Struthio camelus: one gene and its partners. Each later gene encodes a partner of the first gene's protein in a complex. Links are inferred from orthologs where the notes say so. Each region holds a gene or a part of one and is shown in the gene's direction. Other genes may lie near its edges. The genes, in order: F2, SERPINE2, FGG and SERPIND1.

The links.
Region 2: the proteins of F2 (region 1) and SERPINE2 are in contact, whole or in part, in a crystal structure (PDB 4DY7), measured with the Homo sapiens proteins. The link is inferred for Struthio camelus from reciprocal best matches to the Homo sapiens genes F2 and SERPINE2. Residues at the interface, in NP_000497.1 of Homo sapiens: His406, Tyr410, Pro412, Trp413, Trp455, Arg456, Glu457, Asn458, Leu459, Glu509, Thr510, Ile542, Asp562, Ala563, Cys564, Glu565, Trp590, Gly591, Glu592, Gly593, Cys594; in NP_006207.1 of Homo sapiens: Val225, Arg288, Ser355, Ala356, Thr358, Thr359, Ala360, Leu362, Ile363, Ala364, Arg365, Ser366, Ser367.
Region 3: the proteins of F2 (region 1) and FGG are in contact, whole or in part, in a crystal structure (PDB 2HWL), measured with the Homo sapiens proteins. The link is inferred for Struthio camelus from reciprocal best matches to the Homo sapiens genes F2 and FGG. Residues at the interface, in NP_000497.1 of Homo sapiens: His450, Pro451, Arg452, Arg461, Arg486, Ala489, Ala490, Leu493, Ile530, Val531, Glu532, Arg533, Cys536, Asp546, Asn547, Met548, Phe549, Cys550, His605, Phe607, Arg608, Leu609, Lys610, Lys611, Trp612, Lys615; in NP_068656.2 of Homo sapiens: Pro439, Ala440, Glu441, Thr442, Glu443, Tyr444, Asp445, Ser446, Leu447, Tyr448.
Region 4: the proteins of F2 (region 1) and SERPIND1 are in contact, whole or in part, in a crystal structure (PDB 1JMO), measured with the Homo sapiens proteins. The link is inferred for Struthio camelus from reciprocal best matches to the Homo sapiens genes F2 and SERPIND1. Residues at the interface, in NP_000497.1 of Homo sapiens: Lys384, Ser385, Pro386, Gln387, Leu389, Leu390, Cys391, His406, Cys407, Tyr410, Pro412, Trp413, Asp414, Lys415, Leu423, Arg425, Ser430, Thr432, Arg433, Tyr434, Lys440, Ile441, Ser442, Met443, Asn458, Leu459, Lys470, Trp511, Ala513, Asn514; in NP_000176.2 of Homo sapiens: Glu75, Asp76, Asp77, Asp78, Tyr79, Leu80, Leu82, Ile85, Phe86, Asp89, Asp91, Val305, Glu306, Met307, Thr308, His309, Gln327, Asp343, His361, Lys362, Arg388, Thr457, Val458, Gly459, Phe460, Met461, Pro462, Leu463, Ser464, Thr465.

Annotation. Positions count from the first base shown.
Region 1 is NC_090946.1:39,725,455-39,732,708, reverse strand, and holds the start of F2 (prothrombin), read left to right. Parts: upstream 1-4,233; 5' UTR 4,234-4,358; intron 4,359-4,749; 5' UTR 4,750-4,764; coding exon 4,765-4,843; intron 4,844-5,773; coding exon 5,774-5,937; intron 5,938-7,254. UniProt on the Homo sapiens protein: Thrombin, which cleaves bonds after Arg and Lys, converts fibrinogen to fibrin and activates factors V, VII, VIII, XIII, and, in complex with thrombomodulin, protein C. Functions in blood homeostasis, inflammation and wound healing.
Region 2 is NC_090950.1:12,846,578-12,853,466, reverse strand, and holds the start of SERPINE2 (glia-derived nexin), read left to right. Parts: upstream 1-3,885; 5' UTR 3,886-3,895; intron 3,896-6,889. UniProt on the Homo sapiens protein: Serine protease inhibitor with activity toward thrombin, trypsin, and urokinase. Promotes neurite extension by inhibiting thrombin. Binds heparin.
Region 3 is NC_090945.1:39,324,267-39,331,093, reverse strand, and holds the start of FGG (fibrinogen gamma chain), read left to right. Parts: upstream 1-3,824; 5' UTR 3,825-4,091; coding exon 4,092-4,163; intron 4,164-4,256; coding exon 4,257-4,301; intron 4,302-4,751; coding exon 4,752-4,935; intron 4,936-5,047; coding exon 5,048-5,141; intron 5,142-6,659; coding exon 6,660-6,790; intron 6,791-6,827. UniProt on the Homo sapiens protein: Together with fibrinogen alpha (FGA) and fibrinogen beta (FGB), polymerizes to form an insoluble fibrin matrix. Has a major function in hemostasis as one of the primary components of blood clots.
Region 4 is NC_090958.1:9,956,033-9,963,399, reverse strand, and holds the start of SERPIND1 (heparin cofactor 2), read left to right. Parts: upstream 1-4,353; 5' UTR 4,354-4,484; intron 4,485-6,506; 5' UTR 6,507-6,522; coding exon 6,523-7,367. UniProt on the Homo sapiens protein: Thrombin inhibitor activated by the glycosaminoglycans, heparin or dermatan sulfate. In the presence of the latter, HC-II becomes the predominant thrombin inhibitor in place of antithrombin III (AT-III).

The DNA of each region.
Region 1 (7,254 bases):
AGGTGGGTTGTGAATATCTCCAGGGAAGGAGACTCCACAGCCTCTCTGGGCAACCTGTTCCAAATCCTCAGGGACAGAGCCTCCGGGTGAGAGTGTAGGGTATTCATCTTTTTGTAAATGTACCTAAAGCGTTGCAATTGCTGATCAAACTATGTAACTCACCTCAGGAGCATATTCAGAAACATCCCAGCTTTTGAACGAGCAATCTATATTGGTCGCAGAGCAGACAAAGGCCCAAGAAAATAGGCTAAAGTCAAATCCTCTATATGCTGCTCCCAGGAAGTTGGAAAAAAAGTTACATAAGAAATAAACAGTTGCAAAAAATTTCCTCACTTAAAAAAAACCTCAGTCTATATGGAGCAAAGAATCAAAACTCCCAATTGGGTTGAAAACCATGCCTTTGGGAGCAAAAAAGGTACAAATCTTTATTACTCTATGACAGGAAAACAACATCCTTCACTCATGGCATAAGCGCAGAAAGAAAAAAAAAGATAAAAAGTTGCTTACAGGAAAGGTGAACAGAGACACAAGAGTAAAATGTTTGAGGTGTGGAAGTCAAAGCTCCTGGAGAAGTGATAGCTGATGCACGCTATCCTGCTGCAGAGGCTAATCACAAGAATGTGTGGGGGAAAAAAAACCAATTACTGATTTAAGCTAAAGTTTGTCTTTATTAAGACAAACTTTATTATAGAGAAGACAGAGAAACGAAGGAATGGAAAAAAAGCGTGACTGAGTATATTGAAAGCTCCTATGAAGGAAAAAATTGCATCATTGGGAACAAAGATAACTATTAATAACAATCTTGTGTTAATCTTATCTTCAATAGGTAAAAAAAAAACCTGAGAGTATCCCATTCCAAACTTACAGATACTGAACTATGTAAATTATGGGCTTGCATATGTATGTGGATTTATGAGTACACTTTACACATTTACAAAAGGTGCTATACAATGTGAGGAGAGCTGAATTGCTGGCAAGCTCACATAAACCCTCCTGTGAGAGGCCTAACTATAGGCCCAAGTACAAGGCCTTTGATATCTCTGCTACCTTCTTCACCATGTCACCAGTAACACTAACAAGGGATCGGTAAAACAGTCAACAAATCACAGAAAAGCTATTCACCACCAAGGTTATGATCAATCAAATGTAATCCAAACATGAACCAATTGTACATATATATTTAAAAAAAGGAAAAAAAAAAGTTCTCAGAATATGGACCCTTTCTCCCCTTTGGCAAGGTGGATCAAGCCCTGTCTTTCTGATCAGAGCAAGTCTATGGACTGTTCTTCCGAGTACAGGGTGGTTGAACAGTGGCTCCTCTCCTTATACCAATTGTGTTTTGGCCCACTTTGTGGCTGCGCGCAATGCACCTCCTGCTGATTACAACACCCTGCTGGGAGATGGCCCCCCCCCCCCCCCAACCTGCTCCAGGAGCCCCTGTGAGACCAGCACAGAGGTGGCTGAAATCAGGACAACTGAGCTGGGAGACGGGCATCTGCGGGGCCAACTACTCACAGGAGGGTTGCGGTTCTGCTGGGTAGGCAGCGTATTAACCACATTGACCCCATTGCAGCAGGTCAACACGCTCCAAGGGGAAAAAAAAAAAAAAAAGATCAGAGCCTGAAGTCTACCCAAAAGCACCGGCCAGATGGAAAGGCCTCACAAAAGTGTTAAAATTAAGAAAAAAAAAAAAACCAAACAAACACGTTAATGCTGGATCTGAAGTACTGCGCCAGAAGTTACAGCAGCCAAATGAATTAATGCGTCAGACTACAGGCTCCATACGCAAAGTAAGTATTACCTGTAGAACGGATGCCCAGGAACACCTCCGTCTTCCTCTACGCGCCCGACCGGCTGTCACAACGCACGCTGAAAAACGTCAACGCGCGCAAGGGGACTTGGCAACACCGGCAAGCCCTTCTTCATTGGACGGCATGGGAACGACATCCACGCACCAATTAACAACTGAAAAGCAGCCTGACCTCGTAGCAATACAAGCCTTACATCAGAATCAACACATCATCCAGCCAGCCCACAAGGCAAGTAGCTGGCGCCGCTGCTGCCCAACGGTGCGACATCAGCGGCAGTTTTAGCTCCAATACTACTGCTATTCTACACCCCTTCTCGTGCCCAACGTTAGTTCCACTTGCTGCTACCCTTGTATTATTAATTGCAGCAATTGTGTCATAGATAAGAAGCTTTCCAGCAACCAGAAAGCTTACCGATGTAACCTGCAAACTACAAAATCTTCAGGAAAGGGCAACTGTGCGAGTGCATCACGGGGTGGAGCGTAGCGGGACCAGCCGGAAGACCATTGTGCACCAAGGAGTTAGAGATCCACGGAGCAGCTGACCTGAGGAGGCGCAGGCCTGTGCTGTGCTGCGCTGCACATATCACTTGGCCGCAGGATAAGCTTGGCTGGCTAATTAGAACAGAGGACTCTGCAAGCAGCTCCCGCTTGGTGCCTGGCGATGATGCCATCGACACGTTCTTGCCTCTGTCTAAAAGTGAAGCAGCATGTTTTCATGTGAACGTCCTTTTGCTCGACAGTAGAAATGACGAACAGAGCTGTTTACGTCTAAGAACATCCTACAAGAGCTTGGAAAACCCACAATGCCGGTGAACCTCACCGTGGATGGGATCTGTGCAGTGTGTCACACACTGACTAAAGATCCATCCGATGCTACACAACTTGGGTTTCCCACTATCTAGAGAGACATAAGATCATCTACGCTATCCCCTTCCTACTTCTTGTGTCAGCTACAATAAACGTTGTTCTAATCAATACTTTACGGGGTCTGAGTGCCTTTCTTAATGGGATCTATAACGAACACTTGCACCGGTGCATTACACCTCCATAAAATATGGCAGCATCTGTCTCTCTCATCACTGCTATAGGGGGTGGTGGTGGTGTCAGTCTTCCTGTGATGATATTTCTGTGCCCTGCATTCACATCCATATGGACTTGCTCAGGCATGACCAGCAGTCCTGAGGTCATGTGTCCAACCTGCAGCATGAGCCAAAAATCAAATCATCACATAGAAAACACATAGGTGTGTCCTTGCTGCTATCCTCTGCTCCCCAGGCAGCTGAGCCTGCCAGCGGGGCCTCCAGAAGTGTGGAGCCGTTTGCACCTCCCCTCACAGAGAGAAGCAGTCGTGACTGCTACGTGAGACATGAGACAGCAGCAGCCCTGATTTCATCACTGTTCAGAAAACTGTTTGTTCAGCGATGCTTCCTTCCTGCCCCAGCCTCATAGCGGCCCCTGCCTGTGTAACCCTCCTTCCATAGCGCTGCTTCCCTCATGCAAAGTAAAACAGGGTGTTTCTAGGCTTGTGGCTAATCCTGCGCACACCTGCTCCTCCACCTAGGTCATCTCAGCCATTCCTAAAAACATCTCTCCAAAGTCCGGGTGAGGAAGTATGAAAACAGGGAACGGTCTTAAACACGGGAGAGAGTCTGTGCAACTGCTCTTTGTACCAGTGGCCAGAGAGTCATTCCTCAGCTACCCTAATGCTAATATTTGCACATCTACTATGGAGATAAACATTACGGATATGTCTGCTGCACGGAGGCACAGCACAAAACATGCTCCCTGCTGGCAGAAAGCACTTTTGTGCCATGTGGCAGTTCCTGGGACTACCCTCACCTTGCCCTGCTTTCCGCTGTTTTCTCACAGTGAGAGAACAGTGCCATTTTTTGCTTGTTGTAGGAATCACTAGAGCTTTCTCAGGTCAAGTAGCCCAGTTCGTGGCTTATTCATTAGCTGATGTCATGACACTCAAGATAGTCCTGCCTCCCTATTCCTGGAAGCCCTTGTTTTCCTGGCTGTTTCGGGCTTGCATGTTCCTTGCTTGGCAGAGCTTCTGTTTCCTTTTGGATTTATTTTAGTATGTTCCACTGGTGTGGGAATAAAAGGGGGGACCCAAACTTCACTGCCTCACCCTCCTCCTGGGAATCTTAATGCAGTGGGAAGTATGCAATGAAAATGGCCTTGCTGACCTAACTGGGAAGAACATTTAAATTCCACAAGGACTGTAGCAGGCACTCCTGCTCCTTGGCATGGGTGAGGGAGAACAAGGGGGAGACAAGCTGGCTCTTTCACGCTGCTCTAGTGCCAAAATAGCTGCGGCTGAGCTTGCTGATAACTGCAGGGAGAAAAGACAACAGGACTCCGAAGGGTGGGCTTGTAGCTAAAAAGAGGACTGGGATTGGCTAAGCTCTCCAAGTCTTGCTGCGCCTGAGGCTACTAAAGAGCCCAGACTGTGAGGAGACTCAGCTGCAGGGAACCAAGCCAGGGTGGTGGGGAGGCTGCAATCCTGCCAAGAGCCAGAGGATGAGCAGAGTGAGCTGCTCTGGTAAGGGTGGCTGTGAGCTGGTAGAGACCTCTCCAACCCAAATTCTCCCGATACCCTGGGACAAGCTCATCATCTTGCTCCTCATGTCCTCTTCCCTGCTATGAAACGGGATACTAACTCTACTCCTGTTGCAGGGGGTGGGGGGAGGGGGAGACCAGCACACATCCAGAGATGTTTTGTGTTATGGTGTGGTTTCTGCCAATGAAGTATGAAAAGGAAGATACCCTGAAGGGAAGGAAAAAAGCCAAAAGAGGAGGGATAAGAGGAGCCTCAGCCCCACTGTCCCTGACACACCACGACCTCTGGAGTCCTGTTTCTTCATTCTGGTTCAATATTAACCCAGCAGGGCTGTGACTCCGCTTATTCTGTTCCCCTTGCGTTTCCCCTGCAGCCAGGGCTGTACAGCATGGCGCACAGCAAAACCAGCATACTGAGGGGCCTGCTCTTTTCCAGCCTTCTGCACCTCACATTGAGCCATGACGGAGGTAAGAGCCAAGGGCCCAGGGAGGAGGGCAGTACCAATGGGTGATGGAAGGAAGCAAAAATGTGGTTATTTCTTCTCAAGGGTAAAGCCCGTGGGAGATTCTCTAGGTAAGGCAGGGGGAGTTTCTAAAAGCTTTAAGTTGGGAATTAAAGGGTGCAGACAGTGGTGTGAGCACAGGGCTTTCCTGAGGAGGATGCAGCAGCTTCCAGCTGCGGGCAGGAAAGCCTAGTGACAATAGCTCAGTTGATTGTGTGGGCCACAGGGGAGATGGCAGGGAAGGGGAACGTAGCTAGGTCCAGGATCTTGCATGGCTCAACTATGGGCCTGTTTGGGCTAGTTAAGTCAGTTGACTTGGGTCGCTGCAATTCTCCATTTCCTCCTCTGTCCACCCTTATCTCCACTTCTGGTCATCTGCAATACACAGCTGTCCTACACTCACTGCTCCTTATCTTTTATTACAGTCTCTTCTCCCTCTATCTTTTCTTAATCTAAGCCCACTACTGTGTGTGGGAAGACCTGTTTACAGGGCTGAGATTAGGGTCTCTGAACATGAAGACAGAACCAAATTGCACCTTATCGCAGCAGTTTGAGGTCAGCAAGACAGAACATAGCAGTTGGCACAGACCAATAGCAAGCTCAGGCAAACAACCTTCTCCCTAATGGCAAACGAGCAGAGCTGCCCTGCCAAGGATAATGGAAGATTCCCCTCACTTCTGAGGGGAATCTACGTGATGACAACCCTCACAGCTTATAGAGACTGCACTGATCATCAGGTGTGGACATGGGGGGTTGCTGCATGGTGGAATGGGGGTGGGGCTGGGCTATGGGACCAACACACTAGCTGAGTGCGATTTTTGGAAACAATAAGGGGAGACAAAGAGGCCCTCTCACTGCAAGCATCCCATTGACTGGCCCTGTTCTGACTTGGTAGTTTTCCTGGACAAGAGGCAGGCACTGTCACTGTTCAAGCGCCCACGACGTGCCAACAAGGGATTTCTAGAAGAGATGCTTAAAGGCAACCTGGAGCGAGAGTGCCTGGAGGAGATATGTAGTTACGAGGAGGCCTTTGAAGCCCTGGAATCCACTGCTCGCACGGTAGGTACAGGGCACATGGGTGCTCCTAAGAAACATTCCCTCAACCAGCTCCTGTAGCGAGAGACCAGCATGCCACACACACAGCCAGGGACTGGGGGGTTGTAAGACACAGTGCTGAGAGATGAGGCTGATGTGTGCATGTGCCCCTGGGACAGCTTAAACTTCCTTAGGGAAGCTTGGATTCTTTTCCCTCCCTCTTTAGTTTAAGGACAAAGTGAAAATGAAACAGCCTTCCCTCAGCCATCAGTCAAGAACTGCACCTTCCACTTCAGCATAGTGCCACACATCTTCAACTGCCACAGCCCCCAGTGGCCCTCCAGGACACTCACAAAACAGCTGGCTTAGCAACCAAATACTGAGTGCAGGTGCCTCAAGACCCTTTGAGCTTAAGCTTTGGCACTGTCCCTTTTTCTGGCTTCTGGACTCGCTCACTGCAAAATTTCTGTTGGCATCCTTTTAGGAAACGCTCCTAGCCCCAAGATCAGTATTAGTGTTGAATTCCGCGTTCCAGAAAATACAGTGGTAAACAGACGAACGTTTGAGAGTTCAAGCCAGTAAGGTACAAGCTCTACAGAGCATTTCTAATGGAATTGCTCTCAGGCATGAGAGGTCTGACAGACATAGATCTAAAGAGCTGAGCAATACCTGCATACTATCTGTGGCCTCCGTTTCTTCACTACTCTAGAGCGTCCTCTGCCTTTTACCAGCCTTTAGAAGTTCTAGATCCAATTCCTTGGACTTCTGTAGAGTAGTACAGGCTTTGTTTCCTCTGCACATTGATAAGAGAACCACTGCAAGCATCTCTGGTCTCTTGCAGAAATGCCAGGCCTCTCTATCAGTCTGCTTAGTCTCCAATCCATAAAAAGTGATCAAAGTCTCTTCTTAGATGATCTCTGGCTGAATTAACAGCCTAATATGGATAGCAAATATTCCTGCACAGTAACTGATCTTTGGTTGCATTGAGTTTGCATCTCTGCATTTTTTAGGCGCGGTAATTTTCCTTGGCACATCCTGCCTGTTCTAGGTCAATACAGAGGCTACAAAGACCAAGCGCAGGCTCAGGACACATTAACAACCAAAACGTCTTTCATAGAATGGTACAGACTCCTGCAGACATTAGGTTAATCCATCACAGGGACACTGCTATATTGCAGTACTGCCTTTTATCAGTAAAAGGCATAAGGCAAAGCACATTATATGGTGGTGAGATAAAAACATGTACTTTGGGAGATCCAAGGCTGTGAATGGAAAGCAGCTAAGCAGAAGCCGTTATTGCAGCATTCCTCAACAGAGTTGTACCATGTCCACTTACCTAGG
Region 2 (6,889 bases), on another chromosome or scaffold:
GCCAGGTTTTTCAGCTGCGAGGGTGGGTGGGCAGCCCTTGTTACCGTAGCTTTATGTTGATGCATTATAGATAGCTGCTCATTTTCCTCGGAGACTGGAAGGCTGGCGTGGAGGCTTCTGGTGCCAGCTGGGGCTGAGAAGAAGCTCTCTTCCCATCGCTTTTGCTTGTAGCATCTCGGCTGTGAGCAGATCTGACCTGGTATCTGGAACAGAGAGGCTCCGTGGTTTTCCTGCCTGGCTGCTGAAAAGCAAAACCTGCCTGGCATCACCGGCGGGGCGGGTGGGGAGCTGCGGCTGTAACCGGAGCCCCGGGACTCCAGGGGAGAGAAGCCCGGACTTCTCCGACTCCAAAAACTGAGCTAATTACAGGAAAGGGCAAGGTACGGGTGGGAAGGGTGCCGGCCGTCGAGCTGCGGCGTGCCCTGCCTTGCTGGCGGGGGCAAGGCTTTCCGGGAACGAGCCGAGCGTTGCCCTCGGATTCGGTTCCCGCTTCCGAAGTGACAACTTCTGAAAACCAGCCGGGATAGGCTAAGCGGATGCAGATTAAGCAGATTTCCTGTGCTGCTCCTCTGGGACCGCCGGCATATCGTGTGTCTCCGAAACCACGGTAACGTGGAATTATTACAGCCCTGAGGAGCGCTTGCCGCGGCTAGTGGCTGCTGTCAAAGAGGAACAAAAAGAGATGGTTCCTGCCCCCAAAACAGTGAACTTTCATAATCTTAGTTTTTGGTTTTTGTTTTGTTTTTTTTTTTAACGTGATTAATAGAGCTGTTCCTATGTTTATTGCTACAAGGTCAAACCATTTGTTTTCACGGGGTATGCTAATACAGTCAGTTTTCTTTTCTTTCTCAGCTAGACTCTTTTTAAACAATTTCTTAGAGGTTTGTTTGGGAAAGTATTGCAAACACACTTCTATGTGATATATTTATGCATATTCTGACTGATTGGAATTCAGCTCTGCACTATACTAATAACTGAGAGGTTGTAACGTTTACAGATTTTGCTTTGAGATTTAAATTTGAGAGACAAGCCTAGGAAATAGACCTTACTACTACCCACTAGACCCAAATAGGATCCCAACAAAGAGAAACAGAGAAAACAAATTTTATATCTGGGCATTAACATTCTCCCAGATGTTGTGGACCATCTGCCAGGATTTTTTTTTAGCTCTAAAGTAAGCTGCATTTATAACACCTATAAAGCCACTGATTTTTCTCGCCTTTGTCTCCACCCCCCCTCGCTTTGCAAAGATTGGGATATATGCAATAGCCTCTGAGTGAAAATTTTCTGTTGGTGTCAGTGGACGTAGAGCAGCACGTTTAGGACCACAGGGGACTTGGCTCTGTAAGCAGCGTTGATGTATGCTTTGCAAGGACTTGGAAGTTGTATCCTTTGTAGCAATGACAGGGATAGCATCAACTCACGCTTCTCATCACCTGTCCCATGGAAAGGTGGAGTATCAGTGGGAAGGAGAAAGGTCTGCAGCTGGAGAGGAAGGTGCATCCCCCAGCCCCTCCCCGGCATCCCCGCCTTCGGGTCACTCCTGCGCACCAGTGCTCCTGGCAAGGAGTTTTGTAGCTGAGAAGGTTTTTATCTTCTGAACTGTTAATGCCTGGGATGCTGCTAGCTCATTCTGGCAATGAGGTTGCTAACTTTTATTATTTTGAAGATATCTGTATACATATGACACGTATTTATGTATAGTGTACATGCACTACCTACAGATACTGGAGTTAGCAATTCCCATCTTATTGCTATATGATCGTTACATCAACAGTGTATTTAGATTCCCTAGAACTCAATATTTTATTGAAAATGAAATTAAATTATTTACTGAAATATTGAAACATCTTATCTAGTTTTGTTTTAACTCTGAATACCAGTGATTCCCTCCAAAGATGAGATTTATTAGACTTGAATGCTCATTTTTTTGTATTACTCCCACTGGATTGAAGGCAGATTGAAAACTGGAGAACTGGACGTTCAGATGGTCCAGGAAATGAAGGGCAGAACTAGCACTGGGTTAATTTTTTCCCCTCCGAGTTATGCTGACAGCAACCATAACACTAAGGCTGCAGAGTTTATTTACTATATAAAGGCCATACTTTCCCTTCTCATCCCAGCTTTTTTTGGCTTGTGTTGCTTGGCAGCATCTCCTTAACCACTAACACCCAGAGGCGTGGTATTAAACTGGGATGAAAAATGAGCATGCAGAAGAATATTGGAGATTTAAGTGGGCATGGTTCTGAGAAAACCGGTGGAAAATATGTTTACTCCAAGCCTCTGTAGCACCTAATTGAAGCAGTGATATTTTCTTTGAGGACATAGAAAATGCCTTTCTGCTTTCTCTTTGGCTTTGAATTTTACTTGGAATCAATATGACATAATCCACAGAATTATTTTCTTACAGTTGCAATGGAAACTTTCTGCCGATAGATGAGGGTGTGTTAATCAGGGTGAAAAAGATGACATTCATTCAGGCTTTGTTGGTTTCGAGAGTCATTGTTAGGAACTGTTGCGTGTTCCTAGTTTATTGAAATCTAGTGCTCAGTAAACACTATTATTTTTGAACTATTAATGTTGCTATAAATTTGAAAGGCTAGAAAAAGGTGGCAGATTGTGATTAAAAGGGAGCTGAAATATGTCTATGTGTGGAAATCATTTTCTATACTAAATGTGACAAAGAATGAAACGTGTATTTATGAGCTCATAAAGGATGATTTAGTGGTACTAGGCCTACAGGTTGGGCATCACCAAATGAATTTCTGTGAATCTAATTTAGAAGAACATAAAAGATCCCCCATCACCTCTAGAGCATCTGCAAACGTCGCCAGTCGGTAGTTCGTTCCTACTCCTTTTCCATAATTTGGAAGCTAAGCTCTCTGCCGGCGTTACCCGCCGGGACTGCAGCGCCGGCCGCCCAGGTGAGGGGCTCCCCTGCCCCAGCTCTTTCTGGTCTGCCGAGGAAGCGCGCAGAAGGAAAAGGGCTCGCGAAACCTCCCGCTTCGAGACGCGGCCCTTCCTGCAGAGCTGGGGCCCTTCGGGCGAGCGCCGGGCGGCCGAGCTCTGCCAGCCGGGAGCTGCCGCCAGCCCTGCTCTCGCGCCCCTTCCAGCCCAGCGCCGCAATGCCCCCCAGGGCCGCGCGCCCAAACCCCTGCAAGGGCCAAGTCTCGCCGCAGCTTACGAAAGGCAACGGGGCAGCGGCGGCGAGGCAGATTTGCCGGGGGCACGGCGGGGGGCTCTGCCCTGTCCTCGCCCCTTGCGGCGGTCTCCGGCCCCCGCGCGCGACCCTCCTGCCTGAGCACCCGGCAGCGGAAAAGCGATGGGAAGAAACGCAGCCAATGGGAAAGGGCTCGCTGGCAGCTCCTGCAGGAAGAAATGAGGTTAGTGGCTGCCAAAAATGTAGCTCGAGAGAGCCGGAGAGATAACAGGGAAAGCATGGGAGAGTTTTCTCCGGTTCCAGGGCTCCGCTGCTGAGCTATTCGTCTTTATGAAAAGAAGAGGCTGCCAGCGCCCGACTAGCCGGGCGGGTTTCCCACGGTCCCGGCCCGCAGCGCCGGCACCGACGGCCGCCTTCCCGCCCGGGGCAGCCCTCGCCGGGGCCGGCAGCCCGCCCGCGACCGGCTGCAGCTCCTGGGGCAGGGAAGCTCTCCGACGGGGACGTTGGCGCGCCAAGGGAGCGGGCCCGGCGCGGGAGCGAGCGAGCTTGCGCGGGGAGGCTTTCAAAGCCTCGGGAACGGTTCCTTGGGCGCGCTTAGTTAGCGTGAGGCAGATACCATAATTTTAATTAACGTGAAGCTAAGCCCCAGTCAGCAGTTTTAGCCAATTATGGTCTCTTGTTGGTCTCGTGGTTCTCCAGGGCTGTTCCAAAATAAATAAATAAAGCGCGTTGTGTGTGTTTCCGATGGGAACGCATCTGCAGGGAACGGCCTTTTATTTCCTGCTTCCCTGTCCACCCCCCCCCCCCCCACACACACACACTTTTTAAGGGAATAGTGGCCTGCAGTGGTGGCCTATTCCAAAATGTGCTGATTTAAGCTTCCAAGTGTTTTTAACTGTATTCATCTGTATTTGTACAGTGCAGCTCTCTTGACAGGCACACGTTACAAAGTGCTGAAAATACATCAACGAGCAACGCAGCCGCGTGGTCCAGGGAAGCGCGACGATCTCACCGGGGCAGGACGCTCCTCCAGCCCTTCTCGTCGCTGCAGCAGCGCGGCCGTTGGGGCGCATCCCATCGCTCAGGCGTTTCCCCTCGTCGTCGTCTTATTCCCCTCCGGGGTACCTGAAGAAGCAACAAAGCGCCAAGTTGTAGCCCAAAGAAGGGGGGTGGGGGGGCGCGTTTTGATGCCGACGTGCAGGGTGTACGGCTAGAGGACCGGCGCTTTGAGCAGCTGCTGCCGTCGGCGAGGCTGGGCGGCCGGCGCCGCGGCCTCGCTGCCGCCCGGGCTCCCGGCGGGCTGGGACGCGCCACCCTCGGCGCAGAAAACGCCCTTCCTCTGCTCGCGTGGCAGCCTGGCCCTCCCCTTCCTCGCCTTTACGCGCTTAGGCAGTAGCTGTCTCAGAAACGAACCACTTCCACTTTTTTTTTTTCCCCTCCCCCAAAATAGAAATTTGCATTTTTTCACAGACCTTGGAGACCGCGAAGTGCACGAGAACTGTGGGGAGCGAGACAGGCTGGGAAACGCGCTGCTCGGCGAGCCTCGGGCCGGCGGGGGCTCTAGCAGCCGCCGTGATACGCGGTCGCCTCTGCCGCAACGGTGTGATCATGCCGTCAGGGCGACTGGGGGGAAAAAAAAAAAAAAAGCTCGATTTTATCATTTAATGAACGGTATTGTTTCACAGTTGTATTTTTGGAGATTAGCAGTGAGCAGAAGCAGCCACTGAAGCAAGGGCTGGAGCGCTGGGGACTTCCTGCTGCAAGCCCGTCGTTTCTGAAAGCCCGGCGGAAAGCAGCGGGCCTGGGCTCCGGCCGCACAAGCGGCGCCAGCAACTGGGTTTGATTAGAAGCAGTTGCATGAACGTACCTGCGGGGAAAACGGTCAAAGTGGAAAGAGCCCCAAGCTGCTGGAACCAATACTGCAGGCACTGCTATGCCAAGCAGTGCCTGGCTTCCAAAAGCCATTGCAGAACAGGAGCAGTTTAATACCCATCTTGTTATGGGGACCGGTTTCCAAACTTTGCTCAGTGAACGGTTGAATGAAAAGCTAAAGTCCTTTCCTGGACAAAGCTTTGCCACCCTTTTTTTGGACAACGGGAGCTATTCGTGTTGCACGTTTTCTTGGGTATGGCGCGCTGTGCCCACAAGGAGGTGGCTTCAGACCACGCTTACAGCTTTTAAAGCTGGGAGCACTTCTGGGATGTGCTCAGTCTGCTGTAGCCGCAGGTTGTCACTGAAAGGGGCAGTCTTGCTCTCCTCTCGCTCCTCGTCCCCTCCCGTGCCAAAGCGTTTCCTGGGGGGTTAGCTTTCTGCCGGATTGGAGAGGGGCCTCACTTGCCAAATGGTCACCTGGCTGCCAGGTCCAAGGCACGGGAGCGCTTGGGAAGTGACAGCCAGGGACAGGGACGAGAGCGGACCTCCCCGTGGGACCTGATGCTGCACGCTGTTGTCTGAATGTCTCTCATCTCCCAGCGCCCAGAGCAAGGCTTTATTCTAGGACTGGCTCCTTGGGCACAGACGTGACTCCTTAAGGCACAGGACAGGCAGGATTCGGCCTTTGCAGGGTCTCTGCTGTTTTTGTGCACAGAGGAGCAAATCAGGCGGAAGGTAACACTCAGCTGTTCTCACTGGTATATAAAACAAAGCAAGAGGAAGCTCTTGATTAAAGGAAGGGTATTCAGATGTAATCTTTAGCTCTCCGTGCACTCAGGGATGAGCTGCGCTTCCTCCCCAGCCCTGAGAGGCACTTCAACCCCCGCCCCGTGCTCAGGGCATAAATAGCCCAAATTCTGCCACTCTTGCATGTCTCAGCCCTCCTCCTTTCAGAAGGATTAATCAGAGTGCAAACTGATGGAGGGAGGAGGGCAGAGCTCTTCCCAGGCTTGCATTTAAGCCTGTAGTTAAGAGACCTGTGCCTTTAATCTCTATAATCACAGGGTCTGCTGCTGGGAAGTATCAGTGCGGTGACAGCTCTTCCAGGGGCAGCTGCACTTTCACAGCTCTGCAGATATCCAAATGCTGACAGGTATTTCTAAAAATGGTTCTGAAAATGTATTTTTACCATTGCATATACCTTAAACCTTCACTGGGGCCTCTGTGCAGCACTGCAAAGCATGTCTGAAGTGCGATGCACTAAAATGCAAAATATTTATGTAAAGAAGTAAAACACTATAATTCCTCCTCTTTTCCTGTAAGTGTAAATTAATGGCAGTGAAGAGCCATGGTGGTGAAATAAGTGGGGTGAGATTGTGGGAGAGCTATTTTTAGGCAAAAATATGCAATGCTTCAATTGTCACCAATTTATTTGCTTTTTTTAATGTGCACAGGGCTTCAGCAGGCTTTGAAGCGCTGGCTTGCTATCCGCAAGCTCCCTGAACTGCAGAGCCTCGGCTAGGGCTCTCCAGTTGTGTCCGCAAGCAGATCCGAAACCAACGCGAGAACAGTGCCCCAGCAGTCAAATGCCATCTCCTGCATTTGTGGCTGTGTCCTGGAATGAGGGCTCCCCCTCTTCCCACTGTGCAAGTGGTACACTAGCAAAGAAACTTGGGAACCCCATGCTCTGCTAGTTTCCCACGGGATATTCATGTGTATTAATAACCTTACCAGCTTCTGCGGCAAGCATTTGCAGAGAAACATGAATCATGTGCTGTAATGGAAGGTGGTCAAACTTTGATTTTTTTTTTTTCTTCTCCAAATCCATGATTGTTTTTGGAAAGGGAAAGAGGGTTG
Region 3 (6,827 bases), on another chromosome or scaffold:
GGCAAAAATGTTGCCCTGTACTTTTTGACTAAAATTTAAATACTGAAAGAGAAAGAGAAAGATGACATACAAAACTGTATTTTTTTTTCATTTTCACTTTTCTATTTTTTATTTGTAAAGCGGTAGTTTTCCTAGCACACTGGCAGCATGGCTTCAACACTACACAGCTGTTTAACCATCTCTGTTTCTCATCCAAATTATCAACTCACTCATAGACTGGCCTGGCAAAAGAGTCTGTGCACACCAATCTATATAGCTTATTAGTAGTACAAGCCAGAGTAACTTATGTTGATGATGGATTGTGAAGTAAAACAGACATTTTTTTCAGTATTTACTTCTGGGTTTTTTTTCAATATTTGTTTTTGGTATTTATTTTTTTATAAGAAAATTCACTTCTAGAGCACCTGAAAAAACAGGCAAATCCAACTCAAGCCCACTCAACAGTTTCAGTTAAAACAATAACAAAATCCCACTGGAAATGTTAAAGTATCATTCTAGCATTTCTGAAATTGTATATATTGATCATGTTAGATTCGTAAGCACACATAAGTATGAGTCATACATTTGGAAACAGTTGTTTTTCCAAGACAGCCGTAAGAATGCTTTGATATTCAGGAACTAATTTACAAATAGAAACACGTTTCTTTTCCTGCTTTGTATTTCTGAGGAAAGATTTACTATGAATAATAGCAAGGTATTGGATAGTTTCCCAGTGGCTCTTTGACGATAATAATAAACTCACTGAATTATAGCTGCATTTATATGGAGGTACGGAGACAGAGAAGATGAGGGTGTATCTGATGAATAAAACGCTACTCACCCATTGAGCTTCATTAACAAGGCTGTTCTAAACAAATAATGATTCACCTTTACTATCTACTGAAATAATAAATGGCAAGAAAAATGGTAAACTGAATTTGAGAACTCTTCCTTCAGTCTGTGCTACATTAATCATTCCTAATTCGTTAGCAAATCAGCAAATAAACCTGCTGGAAAGATAAATTTGGTCATAAAATCAACACAGTCGAACTATGTTGGACATATAGCAGAGTACAACTAGATCTCTAGAGCATTTGGGTCAGCTGTTTTGCAGCCAGGACCAACCAAGGGAAAATAGTATGTAGGGCAGGAAAACGACTGCATAGCCGTTCCACTAAGCATAAGTATTGTTTTCAACCTAATGAGAAAGTAGGAATAAATTATTTCTAAGTCATGCCAAGTGAAACCATAGAAGGAAAGAGAAGGAAGCAAGGATGTGGAAGGATTAATCACGCAAGGCTAAGTCATGACCGTGTAATCAGCAAAGCAAACAAACATTTTGTGAGGTTTAAATAGCTGCATCTCCTGCCAAGAAGTACAAGAGGTTGCCACCAGAAATACAACTAGACAGCACTTATACAGTATACACATATTTGCTAATCATTAAAGAAATGTTTCAGATTGATTCCTTTGTGAATATAGATCTATAAAGTGATCCTAGAAAGTTGCATAATACAAGCAACTTGCTGAAAATTCACTTTTCCAACTCCTAACCCATTTGTAGGCATAATGATCTGCTTGTTTTCCAAAACCAACTAGCAAATTATTTGGAACAATGAAACTCTCACATTGTTTTTTGTTACCTAAGATATTAAGGACTTTAGTAAAAATTATCACATTATACATTGAAATTATTTCATTACAACTGTCATCATATTTTAATTTTAAGATGTTAGACATTTTATCTCAAGATTAACTAATGGTTATCACTGGCAGTACTGACTTTTACAATCTTTTGTGAATCCTGAAATTCCTGCTTAGCAATGCAAGACCAAAATTTCCGTGTTCTGTTACCAAGTATAGTTCTGAAAGAGTATCACGCCTATATGTACCATTATTAGTGAAAAAAGAAAAGGGCATGTTCTGAACTCTGCTAAGGGATGAAGGATACCCGGATCGTGTTACGTGGTTCACCTGTCATGTTGTGAACGTTACGTGCCCGTCCATGCTCTTGAATGCACGTTTGTGGTTGAAGTTTGCCCAGTTATTTTGGGAAGTTCATGCCAGTGACCTACTCACGCTATATAATCTTTTCTCACGGAAGCCTGGTGGTGCACAGCCACTGAAACTGTGTATCCAGGACCCTCTGGCCCCAAGAGCAGCCTCACTCCAGCAGAAGACCTGCAGCCTGTGAAGCAGCAAAGCAAGCTCAAGCAATGTGTGAGCAGCAGTGGCAAGGAGATTCTCTCCAAGTCCAGTGGGTCCTGATAGTCGTTTCCTGAGCCCAAGTTAAGAGCTCCAATGAAGCAATGATAGAAACACAACAAGAGCAGGTTGACTTTTTACCCATTTCTATTTATTTCGTTTTCACTATGTGGGAAAAAGGACCAACCAATGCAAGATTTGCAAGAACAAACTTCTAGGGTCATCCCTTCAAAAGGATTTTTGGCAGGCAGGCAACTGAATCACCGTCATTGGTATGGTCGCTACAAAGCTGATTCTCCCATCCACAGTGCTTCAGCTTCCACTTAAATGTCCCATAAGTTTGATTTTTAGCATCATAAATGCTCACATATGGTTCTGGCAATGTGTTTTTGGATCCCTGAACATGATGGGAACTTCCCAGTTGGCCAGGTGAAAAGATGATGTACAGGGCAGGAACTCTTGTGTTTCACGACATAATCATATCTAATTTCGTAATAGTATAACATCTAGCTTTTATGATGTGCTTTTTTCTTACGGTTTTTAAATAGCTAGCAAAGAAAGCTGAAGATCAATACTGCACCTCTACAGTACAGAGGTGAAGACATTTGCCTGAAATCATGAGGCCAGCCAGTAACAGATCTAGTGGTGACGCTCAGCACTCCTGAGTCTCAGTCCCACCTTTCTTCTCATCTTTTGGTCAATCATACACTGAAGTCAGAAGTCACAGTCCACACTGCCCCATCGCTCCTGATATGGTACAGGCACAAATGCAGGCTTTCTCTGAAGAAGCTGTAGCCTAAACAGAAGATTTAGGTGCAGAACCTGAGTAGAAAGATATTAACACTGGTATTTTACAGAGAGTAAGCAGAAGCACGTACAGAAAATAATTCTCCTGGGATACAGTCTGTTGCAGAGCAGGGATCCTGTCACCAGTCTTCTTAGGTGTATTGAATGAGGCAGAGTACAAATGTAAACTCAGAGTCAGCCTCTGCCCCCAGGGAGATAATAGTTTTATCTAGAAGTAGTACATTTCCGCAAACACTAGTTCCAGACGCATGGCAACTGACAAAGAAACCTTTCTGATCCTGCGATACTGAAAACATTAATTCCCCACAAGGAAATTTTGATCAAAGTTGTTCAAACGGACTCCTTGGATTGAGGGATGGAAAAGGTCCACACTTTCATTGCCTGTGAGAAATACCATGGGCTTCTTTTTCCAGATACGCCACTGCCCAGTGTGGGTTCATACCTTTCTCTGCCTCAGTTTGCTCTTTCTCTGCCTCAGTTTTGTCATTTGCAAAATAGGGAGAATGGCGGTCCCCTTCGCAAAGCACGCTGAGATCTGCTGAGGGAAAGTACTACATAGCAGCAAATTTTTCTTTTTATTTATTTGGCTGTTGATAGTTTGTTGATAGGTTAGTATTGATAGTATATTGATAGTTTAGATAGGTAGTATTTACTAGGCTATTGATGGTTCCTACACATAATTCAGAGGGTTAGTATGTCCTTATGCTCATTAAATGAAACTTCCGTCAGGCCCCGTTCCAAAACCCTGTGTGAGTTTTCTTGCTCTCATGTTAGTGGAAGTGGTGTCTCCGTGCCCTTTTCCACCTTTTGGCCTGTCTTAAGACCGCCTGGCTGGAACAGAGATAAGGTGGGTGAGTGGGAAGCGGGTCCTGAACATTGGAGGAGGAGGAGATGTGTGCAAATTCCAGGAATCTACCTCAAACCCCCGCCTCTTCCCGCTACTTCCCGGTGCCCGCCCCCCGCTCCAGCCTGCTCCATTAAACCGCTGCTCTGGTGTGCCGAGGACCATAAAGGCACTGTCCAGGGCGCAGGGTTGAACATTTTCGGCTGCTGCCTGCACTTGCCCAGAGCAGCCGGCAGCGCGTGGTAGGGTGGATGCAATGGTGCTCAAGCTGGGCAGCTGGGTGCCTCTGGGGCCTCTCTTCTCCCTGCTCTTTTCTACTAGCATGGCGGTAAGTGGAGCTAGAGAGTTTTAGAAAACATGTCAGTGCTGAAAATGCTGTCAGAGAAAATTCACTGAAAATGATCTTCTTTCTTCTCTTCAGTACATCGCTACTAGAGAAAACTGCTGCATATTAGATGAGCGATTTGTAAGTATCTGAATACTTTTCTTCTGTGTTAAGAGGCTAACTAAAGCTTTGTTGCACTGGTTATGAACTAGCGGCACACATTTGTACCTTTATTTGAGCCTCATTGTTATTTTCTACACTTATTAAATGCTCTGTGCTTAAACCAGTTATTAATAGCGGTACACATTTGTTAAAAATGTACAGGAGGTTGCACTGTTGATAAAAGCACTTATCCAGAAGGCACTAAAAGTAATAGCATGCACTATTTTCTTGTTATGTGTGTGTATGTATATGTGCGTGACACTAAATTGTCCCTATAAATTCAAATACTGCAGACAAAATGGCAAATGCCTACCTTTTTTTTGTCCACAATTATTTGTATAAAAAGTGACAGCAAGTTTTCCTGCCCAAATATTCTGCTGCTATTTTTTGCTCCTGAAACATTATCAATTATTATTCTTTCCTCTTTAGGGTAGCTATTGCCCAACTACCTGTGGCATTGCAGATTTCTTTAATAAATACCATCTCACTATGGATAATGAACTGCAGGAAATTGAGGGAATTTTGCAGCAAATCACTAACTCCACAGCATCAACAGAGCAATTGATCCAACACATCCGAACCATCAGTCCTCCTGAGAAGCAGACACTACCAAGTGAGAATACACAAATAATGACTCCATTGAAAAAATATCATTTATGCAGTTTGCTTGTTTTTTCATTTGCTCAATTAGTTACATTAATTTTACATCTTTGCCTGTTTTACAGATTCAATTGATGGATTTACTCAAAAGTCCAGGAAAATAATTGAAGAAATTATCAGATATGAAAACACTATTTTGTCTCATGAAAATACTATACAGTAGGTATCTTCCACCTTTGGTATCCCAGTCCAGACCATTTTCTTTCTCTTCTTTTATCAACTGCATTAAGGCTTTCTCAGAAAGGTTTTCTGTGCTTATCTGGACCGTTACGCTCACATTTTTAATAGCTGTCTAGTAAGTCATAATGAGGATCTCATGTAGCATTCTTTGCTCATCTACCTAACCCATTAATTGGGCAAGAGGTGCGAGATGAGAATGTTGTGAAGGCTGGCAAATTTTTTATTTATGTTTCATTTGCTATGTGAACTATTCCTACTAATTTTGCCAAGCAGTTTGGCGATTTATTAAAATGAGTTCGTGCTGTATTGAAGAGTGTATTGAATATCCATATAATCACTGACTCTGGCTAATTTTACTGCATATATCCATGAAAATCGGCTCTTAGTTCCGCTGATATAAATCATAAGCAACTATAAACTCAGTGACCTTCTTTTGTAAATAGACGTTGTAAGATAGGATTGAAAAGATCATTAACTTTTCCAAATGTTAATGGTATGTTTTTTTGACCTGACTGTAGCAAAATCTCCCTTCCGTATAATATTATATCAATGATGACTTAGGCCCTCTAGCTATTGCATCAGTTTAGTTGTACAACCTATGTTTTACAAATGTATCCATAATTAAAAAGAATAATTTATCATATACTTCAGGAGAAGAAAGAAAAACTCTCTATACAGTTGTATTCATGTATTAATTACTGGTTTGAGCTTTGCTGATTGGAGAGATAAAGTCAAGTCAAGTTTGGTGTAAGGTCAAGTGCACGCTTTCCTGTTTTGGCCAGTTGGGTACGGAGTATTGAATACAGGACAGGAGCAAGTCACAGCGAAGATAAAGGAAATGAGGGACCATGCTTCTCATGGTAATCTAACAACAGAAAAGGTTGCAGCCTTTGGAATGCAATTTTGGTTAAAAACATTATGCCTACGTGAAAATTGAATTCTGTTTGCTTATTGCCATAGTTCTGCTGACTGTTTACAAGGGGCAAGCGGGTAACAAGCTCTAATCTCACTACTTGGGAGGGCGTAAGGAGAAAAGAGCCTACCGATACTCAAACAGCCTGCCGAGACGCGAACTGGAACAGTGGTCCTTGCAAGCTCAGTAGTGCTTGATACTCACTCACAGCCAGTCAAAGCCACGAGAAAAAAGGGGCCAGTGAATGGCAGAGCATAGGTTGAACCTTCTGCACCAAACAGTAGCTGGCAGCAGAAAATTCATTTTCTCCCAGAGCACTAGCTGAGAGGAGCTCTGAGGGCTGTAACGCCTACTCTACTGCTTGTAGGAGAATTTGATGGTACTTCTCTGCCTGGGGGTAAATGCAAAGGCTGCTTCCTTTCTTCAGGGCTTCCTCAACTTTAAATATCAGTGCTAAGAAAGACAGCCCTTTTGGAATGGCATACTAGATAAGTAAGGCATGTGTGTGTTGGAAAATGTTTATTACTGTCAGTAAGAAACAGCCGACAACAAGCTGACGACAAGCCATTTTTATGTCTCTGCAGACAGTTGACAGATACGCATATAATTAACAACAATAAGATCACACTGCTAAAACAGAAGATTGCTCAGCTTGAATCACGCTGTCAGGAGCCATGCAAAGATACTGCTGAAATACAGGAGACAACTGGAAGAGGTGCACAAAATACTTCTCGTATGGTGGAGGGATAATT
Region 4 (7,367 bases), on another chromosome or scaffold:
GTTTACTCAGTCAGCAGTGAACAAAATCGTTTCAAAATAAAATCAGCTTTCTCTGGCAAAAATAAAAGAATAGCAACCTACTGAAAGTGATTCACTTTGTTACTTAGTTCAGCTTGATTTGTTTTAGTTTTGCATGCCTGGAGATCACACTTTATTTATCTAGGTTATGTTGCAACTTGAGATACTAGAATCTTACCAGATTTGTCTTTTTGAATTGCTTTATCCTCAAAATAGCAGAACATGACTTGGAAGCGATCTTGGTCTGTTGAACGCAACACCCTAGAAGGGCAACAGTTTTGCATTTTTGAGGGAAGGCTGTTTTGTTTTGTTTTTTATTTTATTTTCTTTTAAACATCTTCAACACAAATCTAGAGTACTTTTAACAGCACAGTACATACCAACACAAACAGTAATGATTGTTTGCACAGTAATTTTAATTCTCCAGGAAGTCTGATACTGCCATTTCTTTCTACATTGAACTAACACGGCTCAGATGATAAAGAGCTGGTTTGCCACCGAGAAAATAACTTCCACACCACAGGAGGGGTAAACCTGATGATGCACTTACATAATCACCACCAACACATAAGCATGGTACAATTCCTGGCATTTCCATAGGCCGCTGCATGTGCTGTATTTGTACGAGATATATTAATTATTAAAAGACTGTTTCTAAAGGACAGCCAAGAAGTTTCAGGAAATATCCTTGTTGTTTAGTTACTGTCAAAGTAAATATGAGATGGGGAAGTTTCTTCCTGTTTTCTTCACTGCCAGACCCTTACCTCAGCTTTCACCTACAGACTTTTTTTTTGAATAGCAGTAATCAATAAACTTGTAAATTAAATGCATTCAGTAAATTAAATTGGTAAATCACACTAGTGAAGGGAATAAAAGCACACTACAGAAATAATTCTCTCAGCTCCTCGACTACAATGCTCTCAACAGCACAGAGGACCACCTGTGCTATTCTTCAGAGGTAAAAGCATAAGACCTCATCTCTGTGCAGATGCGTTATGCTTGCAAGACTGTCCTTTCTAGGGCCCTTTTGTCCATCTTCAATTAGTTCCTATACAGAGTAGCTCACATTTTTGGGGCCCAGCTATAGCATTCCATCCTTTTATTCATCCTAAAGGAATTTTGGCACAGATGAACTCCTAGTGTCAGTCTTCATGAAGCTACTTTGACACAAAATACTGGTTTTCATTTATCTTAGTTTCTGGCAATTCTGACTCAAACATTTAAAAATTAAAAATCAAAACCAACAAAACCCTAAAAGCAAACACCCAACATGATTTAAAAAAATCCAGCACAGAAAAAAAAAAAAAAGGTACACGCATACCTCATATACTCTAGACGGTAGACAGAAAGGAGATAGGTAGACATGGCAAAGTCCAATTTATTGATCAACGCTGACACTTCTGGAGGAGGATCCAAGAGATTTATTATGGTACTCCGTAACTCATTTAATTCAGCCTAAAGATGAATACATTCAGTTATCTAAAGTGGGAGGACTATAATAGTTTGTGTTCTGAAAGCATTTGCTATCCAGCTTCTGAAACTTCATAGGACTGTTGTGCTGTGCTTTGATATCACAGGACTAAACATCTAGATACATGCAGATTTCTATGTTATTTGGGAGCCAAACAGAGGCATCTCATAAGCTGCAACTCTTCAATCCACTTACACTCCTATCACAAATACTCTTCAGGTAAAATCTATCCTGTAGACACTAGGGAGACAGAAGTATACCAGTATTAAGTCAGAAGAAAAAAGATAAAAGCTCAATCAACCTTTTTTTGAGCAAGAGGAGAGAATGAACGGGTTGTTTCCTTCCAAAGCTAATTTTTTTTATAGTATAAGTTTTATCAGCCTGATACAGAATGGATGAAACAGACTATTAGAAGGCTTCCCTCTCCACATGGAGTTGGTTTCTATACTTAACTAAAATAGTGTAGCTACCACATCAAACACATGTATTATCACACTCAAAGAACACAAACCCAAGCCATTCACGTATACTGTTGCCATAAAAGTAGTGCAAAAACAGCTGTTTTTCACTAATAAGAGGAAGGTAAAAACAGTATTGTGCTATTCCAATGAAGTATTCCTTGGATACTATATTATTTTAATACCTGGAGGACATTATAGAAGAATACAATAAAAGATATTGATTCTTACAGAAGTCACAGTATCATTTTTCATGGCAGAATTGTACTGAAGAACAGATCGAAGAGGTTCTTTGCTGGGAAATGTGAGTAATGGAGACTTGGTGGCAATTTCACATACACCTTCATACCATTCTTCTGGCCACAGACCTGGAGCACAAGCACAAAGAGGGAGGTGGGAGAGGGGAAAAAAAAAAGGGGGGGGGGGGCGCGACAATATATTAGGCTGATACAGCTCAATGAACCATATTCAGCTATTACTATCATCATTAAATCAAATTCTTACCAATCCTCTAATGAATCTAACAGACTCACAAAGTTAACCAGCATTATCAAGCTTTGCACTACTTCTTAGGGCCAACTTCCCATGGGCTTATGCACAAGCGTTCAGTATAACGGATTGTGTCCCAAACCTAACAAATATGCTTAGGTAACTCCAAGGGAAACTTCCCCATGGATAAGTTTCTACCTTCTGTTTGGTACCTAAGTTTCTACCTAATGTTTTCTACCTATGTGTCTGATCTTCCCTCTCAGAAGCTTAGCTATCAAAACTCATATTTATAAGTCATGGCTAACCAGCTGTATTAGCTGAAAAAATTAAAAAAAAAAAAAAACCTAAGTACAAGAACAAATCATACTGTGCTGAATCCCGTAGCAAAATAGGACCAGGATGTAATGAAATTCTACCAGAAAACTGTCACATTAGCTGCTCACTTTACATTTTGTTTATGTCTGTAATCCTTCTTCAGCCTACTGTGAATGATTTTCATACAATTACATTTATGTTCATCAAGAGTTTAAAACTGGGTATCAATGCTTTTCTACTAGAATTTACACTACCTGATCCTTCCACAGCAAATCCCATCAGCACTGAATACAACCAGAAGTCACGGAACAGCTTTTGCAGCCTGGGCTTAGCCTCCTTGATGGGTGGCAAGCGCCTAGTGAGCTAACAAAGAAATAAAAATTAAAATCTAAAGATGCGGGGGGTTATGGTAACTTAACTACATGTTAAGGAATCGCTTCATGTACCTTAATTTAGTATGGTTTCCAAAGGCAATATTGTCACGTAATTTCTAATATTAGGCTAATATTATTCTAAACTAACTTTACATTGCTATCATTACACCGAAGAAAATTTGATTTTGTTAGAATACCTTAAATGATAGTATTTGAAATACATGAAGCAAAAATTCACTTGGTTTTACACAGGAATATACCATATTGATGCAGTAACCTCTACAGAGGACATACTATCAGTATATAAGAACTGGAGACAGGAAGAGATCACAGCACTCTTTAAACAGTGAGTTGAAGGCAATACCACGCAACTTTATTTCAGTGCAAATGAAGTCAGTAACAAAAAGAAATATTAGTCTAAGGTATTTTTGGTTGCTATTGTTTATTGGCTTTGCAGAAATATTTTGAGGCACCATTTGGGGATCTTTTATTGTTTGCACCCACGCACAGAATGACATCAGTCCTGGAGAACTTACTAAACAAGCAAGTAAAAGAACATTATTTTTAATACATTTATTAAAGTTGACACTTTTTGCACAAACAGCCACTAGCACTGGAGCACTTTATACTTCCAGTCAATATGATATGCAATTTTATATAAATTTGTAAAACAAATCTGATACTGTTGTGACCCTAAAAAAACGTTAGAAGCACATCCGTGTTTAAAGAGTGAAAGAAAGCAACCGAGAGCTTTATCCAGCTTGACTGGATATGATTAATGGAAGTTTCATTAAGAAAATGCAAGATTGCAATCTAAGCGTCTTTTTCAGTAAAATTAACCTGAGTTTAAGCTGGTGAAAAGCACTGTACTAACAAGTTGGTTGTGCAAAGCAGATGTCTACAACAACACAAAACTGACTAAAGTAACCCGAACATCCCAATCACAGTGACCTCAATCGAGGATTCTGTGTTTTAGGGACATAAAAATAGTAAGATGCCCCCCAGTTTGAGCGAGTGCAAAGTAGCAACGACATGATTTTTACTACTCATGAACAGTCAAGTTTATGTGCATGCTTGACTTTGAAACCTTACATACACACCAATTTTTGCTCAAAGATTTTCCTCAAAAGTGAACAAGTACCTACAAAGCTGTAAGAGTTGCTCAACAAATAACATACAATTCGGCAGAGATCACTATGCAAAGAGAGGGATTTTGGCTGACAAAGCAAGTTAGTGTTTGGTTTAGAGCATGTTTACTTTGGAGATACACAAAAAACTCGCGTCAAAGTTCAGCTTTAAACCCTTCTATTCCCCTTACAGGAGCTATTCAACACATCCTTTCTGTGCAGTGGCTTAAAGGTAAGCTTCTTTTACATCTTCTGTTATTTCAGTTAGATTTCACACAAAGATGCATTTATTGTGGTGTGGGGGAATGTTTTGCCTATATAAATGCAGCGAAACAACAATTAAACTTTGGTAAAGATGAGAATGTCAAGTTGGAAACTACAGAGAGCAAATTCTTGTATGACAAAAGCAGAAAACATTTATTCATCAATAGTTACAGCACAGAGTACCTTAGCCCTAGAGGCTTTATTTCTGAGGGTAGGGAAAGACAAGCAATGAATTTATAAAGATGCAAGAAAAATACTGATTGAGGTCGTTCAGTCACAATGCAAAACTCTTTAAAAGGCAGCTGCTCATTATTTTTACATTATTACCAAAAAATATATTATTTTGATATATCACCTTAAATGGTTTTAGAAGTGCAGGCTTAAAGAGAGGAATTTAATAGATTAAAATGGTTGCTTAATTACTTCAGTCCTGCTACAGCACGTTTGTAAATATTCATCTTCCTAGGTTGGCTTTATTCACATTTACACAGACAAATGTATCCACACATTTCACTTCTACAAAACAGCTCTTTGCACTCTGTGCTAGTTTTAAAAACCCTTTCATCAATGCTTTTAGTAAGATTTTTGTATTAACAGTATACAATGTTTTTTCCCCTAGATTATACTGTAAATGTTTGCTTTTTCACTCAAAATAAATACTGACAGTGAAAACTGAGTTTATGAAGTCATCAAGTCATCAAACAAGGAATTTGTTCAGAAATCAAGAGCCTGGCATTCAGATAATCATTTTACAGTTTCAATTGATACAGAATTATTAAATTCTTATATTTTGGACTTTCCTTGATTATCATATGAAGGAATTATACCTTTTGTATCTTTTTAAGGCCACTAATTATTGCAGACCATGATTATGGAGAAAATTCTCTCAGACTTGCTTCTGGCTACAGTGTTCTACAGCTGAGGAAGGCTGATTCATTCTCCTCACATAATACGCATCTAAGGCGTAGTCCTTGGCTTCAAAAATCACAGAGAAATGCTACAGCACAATACTCAATAGACAAACAGACTTTTTTTTTTTTTTGAAAAAGGAGGTTCTACTTAAATACATTCTCAAACAAAGTAACTGAGGTTAGAAATCTAGCATCAGAATAACATTAACACTAGAGAATCAAAGTTCTAAATCTGAACTTAAAGAGACTTCACATCATGAAGAAGACAAAGAGAGTACTTCATACTGTGCAGTCCTACAGAAAGTAAATATAATCAAACAATGAACAGAATCAAGAGAACTCTTTATGAAAGAGGCAGATTAGTACACCACAGTTGTTAGAAGTGTGCATGGTCCAGGAGCAACACACCTGAGTAAGACCATGAGTCGGCAAAGACATGCTTACACCTAATGCAGTGCAGGCAGTCCCACTAAGGGCATTTATTACAAATGCATGCCTGTCTCCGGGTTTGTTGCTACATCTTTAGGTCTCCTTTATTCCATCCAACTTCAGCCCTGCCCTCCAAAGAATACTCTCATAAAACTCCAATATTTTCCTGTAGCTACGCAATATACGTTTTTCAAATTCTTCTGCACATCCCAGACTTCTCATATGCTCCTTTAATGAATGCCTGGTCCCTCTTCCTCCCAAGCTCAAACATTTGAGGCTATCTTCACATCTGCTTGTTAGCATATATTAGAAATACAGCTAGTACAAATTTATTTGTTACTGGTTTATAAATCAGGAGTTCTAGGTATTTTAGGTAACCAGTCTGTTTCCGCTCGAATGTCAATAACTACTTCTCCTATGGCAAGAGGTCAACAAATCATTTGTCAGACTTGAGACACTGGGTAAATAAAAATGTTTTAGCAGTAAAACTAATTAAGCTCTGTACCAGTAAAAGTACTGTCAAATAAGATAACTACAGACCTTATACTCTGACAGAATTCAGAGTGAACCTGAAATTCTCACTTAGGGAATAGGTAACCGTGAAATGCAATTACCATACACCTTCTCAACTGTGTTATACTGTTTTCCAGCTTTTAACCTCTCAGAATGAAGCTCCCACTTCATTTGTTTGCCCTTTCTCTCATTATAACCTCCACATTTGGTGGAATCAAGGACTTTAGTGAGCATTTTGAAAGCCTTAAAGATGCACATTCACATGAAAATGGGACCTATGATATGCCAAACTTTCCACCGGAGTTCCACAGAGAAAACACTATCACTAATGACTTGATTCCTGAAGAGGAGGGGGAAGAGGACTATCTAGACCTTGACAAGATACTGGGTGAAGACGACTACAGTGACATTATTGATGCTGGTCCATACATGATTTCCGAAATTCAGCAAGGAAATATTCTTGAACTTTTTCAAGGCAAAACCAGGATCCAGCGCCTTAACATCCTCAATGCAAACTTTGGCTTCAACCTTTACCGAAGCGTGGCAGATAAAGCCAACTCTTCAGACAATATTCTGATGGCTCCTGTAGGTATTTCCACTGCAATGGCTATGATTTCCCTGGGACTGAAGGGTCACACTCACCAGGAAGTGTTATCTGTTCTTGGCTTTGAAGACTTCATTAACGCAAGCACCAAGTATGAGCTCATGACTGTTCACAATCTCTTCCGCAAACTCACTCATCGGCTTTTCAGGCGCAATTTTGGTTATACGCTGAGGTCTGTCAGTGATCTTTATATTCAAAAGGACTTTTCTATTCTGAATGACTTCAAAAACAATATGAAAACATACTACTATGCTGATGCCCAACCAGCTGATTTTTCAGATCCTAACTTCATAACTAAAACCAATGAGCGTATCTTGAAGCTGACCAAAGGATTAATAAAAGAAGCTCTTGTGAATGTAAACCCTACAACACTGATGATGATCCTTAACTGTCT